2 linked regions of the Oryzias latipes genome follow. The protein of the gene in region 1 purifies or fractionates together with the protein of each later gene. This does not show direct contact. Links are inferred from orthologs where the notes say so. Each region holds a gene or a part of one and is shown in the gene's direction. Other genes may lie near its edges. The genes, in order: asxl2 and ogt.

Region 1 (3,815 bases):
TTCACTCCGGAGCTGCAGCTCCGCCTACGGCAGGAAACTGAGAAGGAGAAGAAGGTGGAGCTGTGGAAAGAAGCCTTCTTTGAAAACTTTTACGGAGAAAAGTAGGTTTTCCTGAACAATGCCATGTCTGATGCACAGAAGGTCCATTTCAGGTCTGTTGGTCCTGAATGCACCTAGATTCAATTCAATTCAACTTTATTTGTATAGCCCAAATTCACAACAACAGTCGTCTCGATGGGCTTCGTATCGGTAATTGAAAAAGTGAAACATGAACTCAAAAGGATCATGAATACATAGAGTTCAATAGGAAAATAGTAAAATGAACTAACAAACTGACTAAGCTAAACTGGCATCTCTGCTCTTAGACCCCCCCCCCCCTTCTCTGTAGGGAAAAACTCCTAAAAAAACCTCAGGGGTGTCCACATGAAGGAGGGATCCTCCCCCAGGACGGACAGGCGATTTACCAGAACTCTTAGAGAAGAATTAACTTATCTAAATCTACAACTACATATATAAAAGTCCAGCAGACGAGCTTCATCCAGCCGTGGTTGGGGGGGGACAGTCCATGAATCACTGCAGCAAACAGAGACATGGAGAACTAAATGATGAATAATAGAATAGAGGAGAGGAAGAGTAGAAGTAGATGAGAAAAGAGGACAGAACCCCAGAGCACCATAGTTACCCCAGCTTCAACTTCTAGCAGCTACTAAAAACAAATAGTTATTAAGTTTAATTTAAACACACTAACATTAAGTTAAATAATCTCTGAATACTAGCTAGTCTGACAATAATCCAGTCCACAGAGGAATGTTTTCAGTCTAACTTTGAATGTAGAAACTGAGTCGGCCTCTCTTCCATGAGCTGGGAGTTTATTCCATAAGACAGGGGCTTGGTGGCTAAACGCTCTACCTCCAACCGTACTTTTACTAATTCTAGGAACCACAAGCAGTCCTGCATTTAGTGAGTGAAGTGTTCTGATTGGATGGTAAGGGACTATGAGGTCCTTAATATAGGACGGGGCCAGTCCATGTAAGGCCTTCTAGGTTAACAGGAGGATCTTGAACTTGATTCTAGAATCAACTGGGATCCAGTGAAGTGAAACCAACACAGGAGTGATGTGATCTCTTCTGCTGGTTCCTGCTAACAATCTAGCTGCTGCGTTCTGAACAAGCTGGAGACTTCTTAAGGAACTCTTAGGACACGCTGCTAACAAGGAGTTACAGTAATCCAGCCTCCACGTAACAAATGCATGGATGAGTTTTTCAGCATCACTCTTAGAAAGTAGATTTCTGATCTTAATCTACCAACATCTCAAGATGTTGGTTGTTTTCTTCATCAGCTGTTAAACCATTTTTGGCGTGCTTTTGAGGTGGGCGGAGCTAACTCCAGTCAAATGGTCAGTCCACTTCATGCTTCATTTTGCCCTGTGGGTGATTTAGGGGGTGCAGATGTCTGTGTGAAGGAAAGATGTTTTCAGATCTTCATTCATGAAGATGCAGAAGAAGCTTTTCGGTCCAAATCTCCCTGTCGTCTTCTTCACAGAACCAGGGTCACTTTGCAGTGATATTTTTCAAACTCTTCTCTGCAGGTTGGGGTTGAGCGTCCAGGAATCCAAAGAGCTGTCTCTGCCTAATCTGGATCAGAAGTTCCAGGAGGAAAAGCCAGAAGATTCCAGCCGGACCCAAACAGCCGACGCTGCAGCTGTGAGCTCTAACCCTCTGAAGGCCAAATGTAAGCTGATGAAGACCCGGGGCTCCGAGCACGCAGAGGAGCCCAAATGTGCAGCCCCCCCGTCTGAGCCCGGACCCCTAGACTCATCTGAAGTTTGGAAACCAGCAGAGCAAAGCTCACCTCGCAAACTTCCCATAAAAGAGCACGAGGAAGAATCAAATGACACTGAGGCCGCTCTGCAGACGGGCTCAGACCTCCAAGAGCATCTCGGGGAGGAGACGCCTGCAGCTCATGGCCAGGAGCTAACCCCCTCACCCAGCAGTCCCTCCCCATCCCTGAAGAGGAGGTCCGTTAGTGAGGCGGACGATGAGATGAGAGCAGAAAAAATGTCTCGCCTCTCCTCTGCGTCTTCAGCCTCCTCTGCGTCTCCTTCAGCATCATCCAGCCCCGCCACGCCCTCTCCGACCAACCAGAGGGTCCCTCCTCTGAAGGTAGGAGGTCTCAGAGGAGCGTCTGCAGTCGGCGTTCCCACTGAGCGCTCTTATGAACGCATGAACAGAAGAAACGTCAGGAAGCAGATATGCTGTCTCTTCTCCATAGCCCCTGCTAGACTAGATCCACATGGATTTTAATGCCATTTGGTCACATGATCCCCAATTAACACCAAATATGACATCAGCCGCCTAATAAATGTGAGCATTTATAAACCACCAGGTTATGATGATGAAGACTTAGATGGTTTATAAAAAAATACATTTGCAAAAAACAAGCCTTCAAACGCAATGCATTGTGGTCTATATTCACCAGTCTAGTGAACATCGATGTACACCAGTTTGTCACTAAGACTTCTGGGAAATATCCAGAGCACTGGATTTTTATTTGGACACCCCCACAAATGAATGAATGCGTTCGTATTGCACTAAAGGGGGAGTAGTGATGGACTCTTTTTGTTTAAAAGGAACCAAGGTTTGCAAACGCAGCAGACGGTCCAAACATGTAGTTCTACCGGAACACTTCAGGCTTTAGGACCTCACTTGCTCCAGATGTCATTTCCTCTGAACTTCCTGTCTTCCAGATTCCCGTGTCCCGGATTCTTCCTGTGTCACCCGGTCAGGGGAGCCCCCCCTTCAGCAGCCCGGGCCGTACCGGAGCGCGTACGCTGGCCGACATCAAAGCCAAAGCTCAGCTGGCACGAGCGCAGCGAGCGGCGGCGGCCGGGTTGACAAAAGGAGTCGGGCCAGGCCCCGGGCCGGGTCAGCAGCAGCCGTCCTCCGTCGCCTCCTCCCCCCAGGAGGTGTCCCAGTATTCCAGCTCACCTTCTCAGAGACCTCTGGACTCCATCTCCCCACTCAGCCCGGGCCAGCCCCCCCAGCCGGGCCAACCAAACCACAAGCATGGAGGCCGTCCTCCAGAAGGGGTTGGAGATGCTCCCCAGGAGGTCCAGGCTTCCTCCTCACATGCTGGGAAGGAGGTCCCGGGACATCGACCTCCTGTCCGGAGCAGCTCCTGCATCCCTGCAAACAATCCTCTGGTGACTCAGCTGCTGCAGGGCAAAGACGCTTCCTTAGAGCAGATCCTCCCCAAACCGCTGTCCAGAGGGGACACGCGCACCACAAACCCGCCCCCCATCTCCAGGGCGCCGCCCACTGCAGAGCTCTGGACGGAGAAGCAGGTGGCGCCCGCGGCGGGCTCCAAAGTCCTCAGGGAGCTCCCCGACAAGGAGACGCAGGCGCAGATCCTGCAGACTCTGATGCAGAGAAAAGTGCAGCTGCCCCCCCCGCAACACAAACTGTGGCAGCTGTCCCAGGACCCGCAGGCGCTGTCCAAGGTCTCCTGTGGGTTTTTGGGTCGGAAGAGGGCTCCTCGGCCCGCCATGACGGGGCATTACCTGCTGAATGTGTCCACGTACGGCCGCGGCGGCGAGTGCAGGAGGCCGCTGCACTCGCCGCCCCCCCCAAACAAGCCTGAGTGTGGTCTGCAAAGGGAGAGTAAAGACGATGCAGGGAGGGCGGTACTGGTGAAAACGGAGCAGGAAGGGGGCCCAGAACTGCCGCCTGAAAACAGGGAGCGTCTCCAGCCCCCCTCCAGTCCAAAGACTGAGCCTGGAGTGCAGGAAAATGCGGCAGGGGGGGTCGGCACCACCA
Region 2 (3,815 bases), on another chromosome or scaffold:
AGCGTTCTGATGATGCAGTAAATGCGCTGTGAGTCTGCAGTAGCGCAGGGGCTGCGCAGCGATACCCTTCAAGCAACCTAAATGGCGGAAAGCGCACGCGTGCAACCCCCAACGCCCTCCCCCCTCATCCCCCTTGGCCTGTTTGGTTGCGGACCTCACCCCACCCAAAAACCAGCCTCGCTCCCAAATGCACCAAAACGCTCAAGACAGGATTTGTTATGACAAATGCGTTGAGCAGTTTTTGATTCATTCACCATCTATTGGCTTTCTGTTTTTATGATTAAGGACACACACAAAAATCTCTCCACAGTAAACTATGTTGCCTCTTCTGGCAATGCCCCCCAACTGTCTTGTTTATCCTTCCAAGCTCATGGCTGCAGAGTGTGTGCTAGTCTGGTGCTGCAGATTATCTGCCAGGGGTTGTTGGTCTGCTGCCGTTGTCATCCGGCCATTCAGCGAGCGCACAAGCGAAGTAAGAACTTTGCCAGGAGCAAGGTCATGCGAACAGCGATACATGGTGCATTGTGGTGTTGGCGGCAAACCCACCCAGCGCGCCTGCGTTGACTGCGCCCGCATTACAGGGACTATCACCTGCACTCACTGTTCCACATCCAAGGTTGTGAATGTCAGCACTGATCTACCAGCCTCTGCTTATTTTCAGTGTTTTCAGTGTTTTAATGGAAGGACAATAGATGGAATTTGAGGAAATAAGAGCCACTGTGTTTGATAAAAGGTGGTCATAACTTCAGGATGAGAACGTGAGTGTGGGTGCTGGTTGGATCCGCGCAGCGTAGGAAAAAGCTATGCAGCTTTGCGCGGCAGACTTCTGCGCCAGCGAGCCCATGCTGTAGACTCACTTTTTGCTATCATGGAGAGTAGTTACTAATTTTGCTATTTCTGCCCTTTTTTGTTTTTGTTTTTCTTTTCATTCAACCCCTCCCCTGTCTACTCCACCTCTCCTTTTCTTTTTTCCCCGTTTTCTGTGGTTTTCAATGTAAACCTACTGAAGGCTTGTTACCTGAAAGCCATTGAGACTCAGCCCAACTTTGCTGTCGCTTGGAGCAACCTCGGTTGTGTGTTCAATGCCCAGGGGGAAATATGGCTCGCTATACACCACTTTGAAAAGGTAAGAAGAATTGTTCATATCTATACACACTATTTAATAGATTTATCATTTAATGTTACTTTTATTTCCTTATTTTTAGGCAGTCACATTGGACCCAAATTTCCTGGATGCTTATATCAATTTAGGAAATGTTTTGAAAGAAGCTCGCATCTTTGACAGGTGAGTTTAAAGTATGAGCTTTATGCTCTTGCTTCAGGTTTACCACACCTTTATGAACTTAACATGGAGTTTGTGATATTTTTAATCCTGCAGCTCCAAAAACAGCTGTCCGATAAGGCGGTTTTAGTTAAAAGCTGTAAATCTTAAACTGTTGTGCCTGTGATGATTTGTGGAAAATAGCTTAGAAAGTTGTGAACATTCCTTGTTTGTCATGTTGTCTCCAGAGCTGTTGCTGGATACCTGCGAGCTCTGAGTCTAAGCCCCAACCATGCAGTGGTTCACGGGAACCTGGCCTGCGTTTACTATGAACAGGGACTCATCGACCTGGCCATCGACACCTACCGGCGGGCCATTGAACTGCAGCCCCACTTCCCAGATGCCTACTGTAATCTGGCAAACGCATTGAAGGAGAAAGGAAATGTAATGTCCAGAATTCACTGTAAACAGAATTTTACCTGTTTTTTTACATTTCTCATGACTTGACACCATAATGGATCCTTTCTAGGTGTCTGAAGCAGAAGAGTGCTACAACACAGCCTTACGTTTGTGTCCCACTCACGCCGATTCCCTGAACAACTTGGCAAACATCAAACGTGAACAGGGCAACATTGAGGAGGCAGTCCAGCTCTACAGAAAGGCTCTGGAGGTGAATTGATCGTTGCACGCTTCTCTAATTGTTTTTCTTTTGAGCAGATAAAATAAACGTAACAAATGGTATGGTGGTGTTTTTCCGTCAGGTATTCCCAGAGTTTGCAGCAGCTCATTCTAACCTGGCCAGTGTCCTGCAGCAGCAGGGCAAACTTCAGGAGGCTCTCATGCACTACAAGGAGGCAATCAGGTTAAGAAACTGTTGAGGCAGAAAGGATTGTCCGCTTGCACGTTCCTGTGTCTAAACATCTTTTCTTGTTCCATTTTAGAATCAGCCCCACATTCGCTGATGCCTATTCCAACATGGGAAACACTCTGAAGGAAATGCAAGATGTCCAGGGAGCTCTGCAGTGCTACACTCGTGCCATCCAGATCAATCCAGCCTTCGCTGATGCTCACAGTAACCTGGCCTCTATCCATAAGGTGGGCTCTACTGCCTCGTCCTTTTCTTTTAGGAAAGTCGGTTGTAAATCTGTTCATATGTGTTTACCTCAATATACAATTTTTGAATTATGTTCGGCAGGATTCTGGAAACATCCCAGAGGCCATTGCATCCTATCGCACCGCCTTGAAACTCAAGCCAGATTTTCCTGATGCTTACTGTAACTTGGCACATTGCCTACAGGTACTTTTAACTTCTGTTTTCATTTTTTCCTCAACTCCAAATTATAGATTTCTGCTTAGTTTTGACCTCCTCCATTTCCAGATTGTTTGCGACTGGACAGACTATGACGAACGGATGAAGAAGCTGGTTAGCATCGTGGCTGACCAGCTGGACAAGAACCGCTTGCCCTCGGTGCACCCGCACCACAGCATGCTCTACCCACTCTCCCACAACTTCCGCAAGGCAATTGCCGAGCGCCATGGAAACCTTTGCCTGGACAAGGTACACGCACTGATGAAAGCAAGTAACTTTTCATTTACATTTTGGGTGTTGAGGTTACTGGTGATGGCTCTGCCCGTCTGTGGGGATGTGGTGAAGGTAAGGGATCAACTGGATCCTGCTAGTGGGTTTATGAGGGCTGTGCAGATTAAGGGAATTTGTTAGCCGAAGGTTTCTGACTCGTGGTCTGTTTGTTGCCTGGAAAGGACTCATGGAACTCATTCTCTCCTGCATTTCTAACATCTTGCCGTTGCTGCTTCCATAGATTAACGCACTGCACAAACCTGCTTACGAGCATCCCAAGGATTTGAAAGCCAGTGGTGGACGTCTGCGCATCGGCTATGTCAGCTCCGACTTCGGAAACCACCCCACGTCTCACCTGATGCAGTCCATCCCAGGAATGCACAATCCAGAGAAGTTTGAGGTTAATGATCCTTTTGTTTTCTCTAGTCTACACTATATTTCTGTCAATTTTAACACCTGGTTTTTCTTCTAAGGTGTTCTGCTATGCGCTCAGTCCTGACGATAGTACAAACTTCCGTGTAAAGGTTGTGGCAGAAGCCCATCACTTCACAGATCTCTCCCAGGTAGCCTTTATGCTGTTTTGTGGCTCGTAACAGTCTCTTCTTAAATAATTTTTATGAATGTAACTGAAATGAAAAATGTTTTAGTTGTTTGTGAAGTGTTTGTTTTCTTTTCTCTGCAGATACCTTGTAATGGCAAAGCAGCTGATCGCATTCACCAGGATGGAATCAACATTCTGGTCAACATGAACGGATACACCAAAGGAGCTAGAAATGAACTGTTTGCCCTTCGCCCTGCTCCCATTCAGGTGAGCTCTTTTCCAGCCTGTTGAGAAGGTGTTCTGCTTTTGAAGAACGCTCTCACAGTGGTTCCTGCTGTCTAACAGGCCATGTGGCTCGGCTACCCCGGAACCAGTGGGGCTCCGTTCATGGACTACATCATAACCGACAAGGAGACGTCTCCCATGGAAGTCGC

The links.
Region 2: the proteins of asxl2 (region 1) and ogt purify together in Homo sapiens (affinity purification with mass spectrometry; 3 studies listed by BioGRID and IntAct, with this or other methods). This does not show direct contact. The link is inferred for Oryzias latipes from reciprocal best matches to the Homo sapiens genes ASXL2 and OGT.

The regions. Positions count from the first base shown.
Region 1 is NC_019880.2:117,013-120,827, reverse strand, and holds part of asxl2 (putative Polycomb group protein ASXL2), read left to right. Parts: coding exon 1-101; intron 102-1,588; coding exon 1,589-2,162; intron 2,163-2,746; coding exon 2,747-3,815.
Region 2 is NC_019868.2:18,373,762-18,377,576, forward strand, and holds part of ogt (UDP-N-acetylglucosamine--peptide N-acetylglucosaminyltransferase 110 kDa subunit), read left to right. Parts: intron 1-1,009; coding exon 1,010-1,126; intron 1,127-1,205; coding exon 1,206-1,285; intron 1,286-1,509; coding exon 1,510-1,705; intron 1,706-1,790; coding exon 1,791-1,931; intron 1,932-2,022; coding exon 2,023-2,123; intron 2,124-2,202; coding exon 2,203-2,356; intron 2,357-2,456; coding exon 2,457-2,558; intron 2,559-2,639; coding exon 2,640-2,837; intron 2,838-3,081; coding exon 3,082-3,240; intron 3,241-3,313; coding exon 3,314-3,403; intron 3,404-3,522; coding exon 3,523-3,648; intron 3,649-3,726; coding exon 3,727-3,815. UniProt on the Homo sapiens protein: Catalyzes the transfer of a single N-acetylglucosamine from UDP-GlcNAc to a serine or threonine residue in cytoplasmic and nuclear proteins resulting in their modification with a beta-linked N-acetylglucosamine (O-GlcNAc).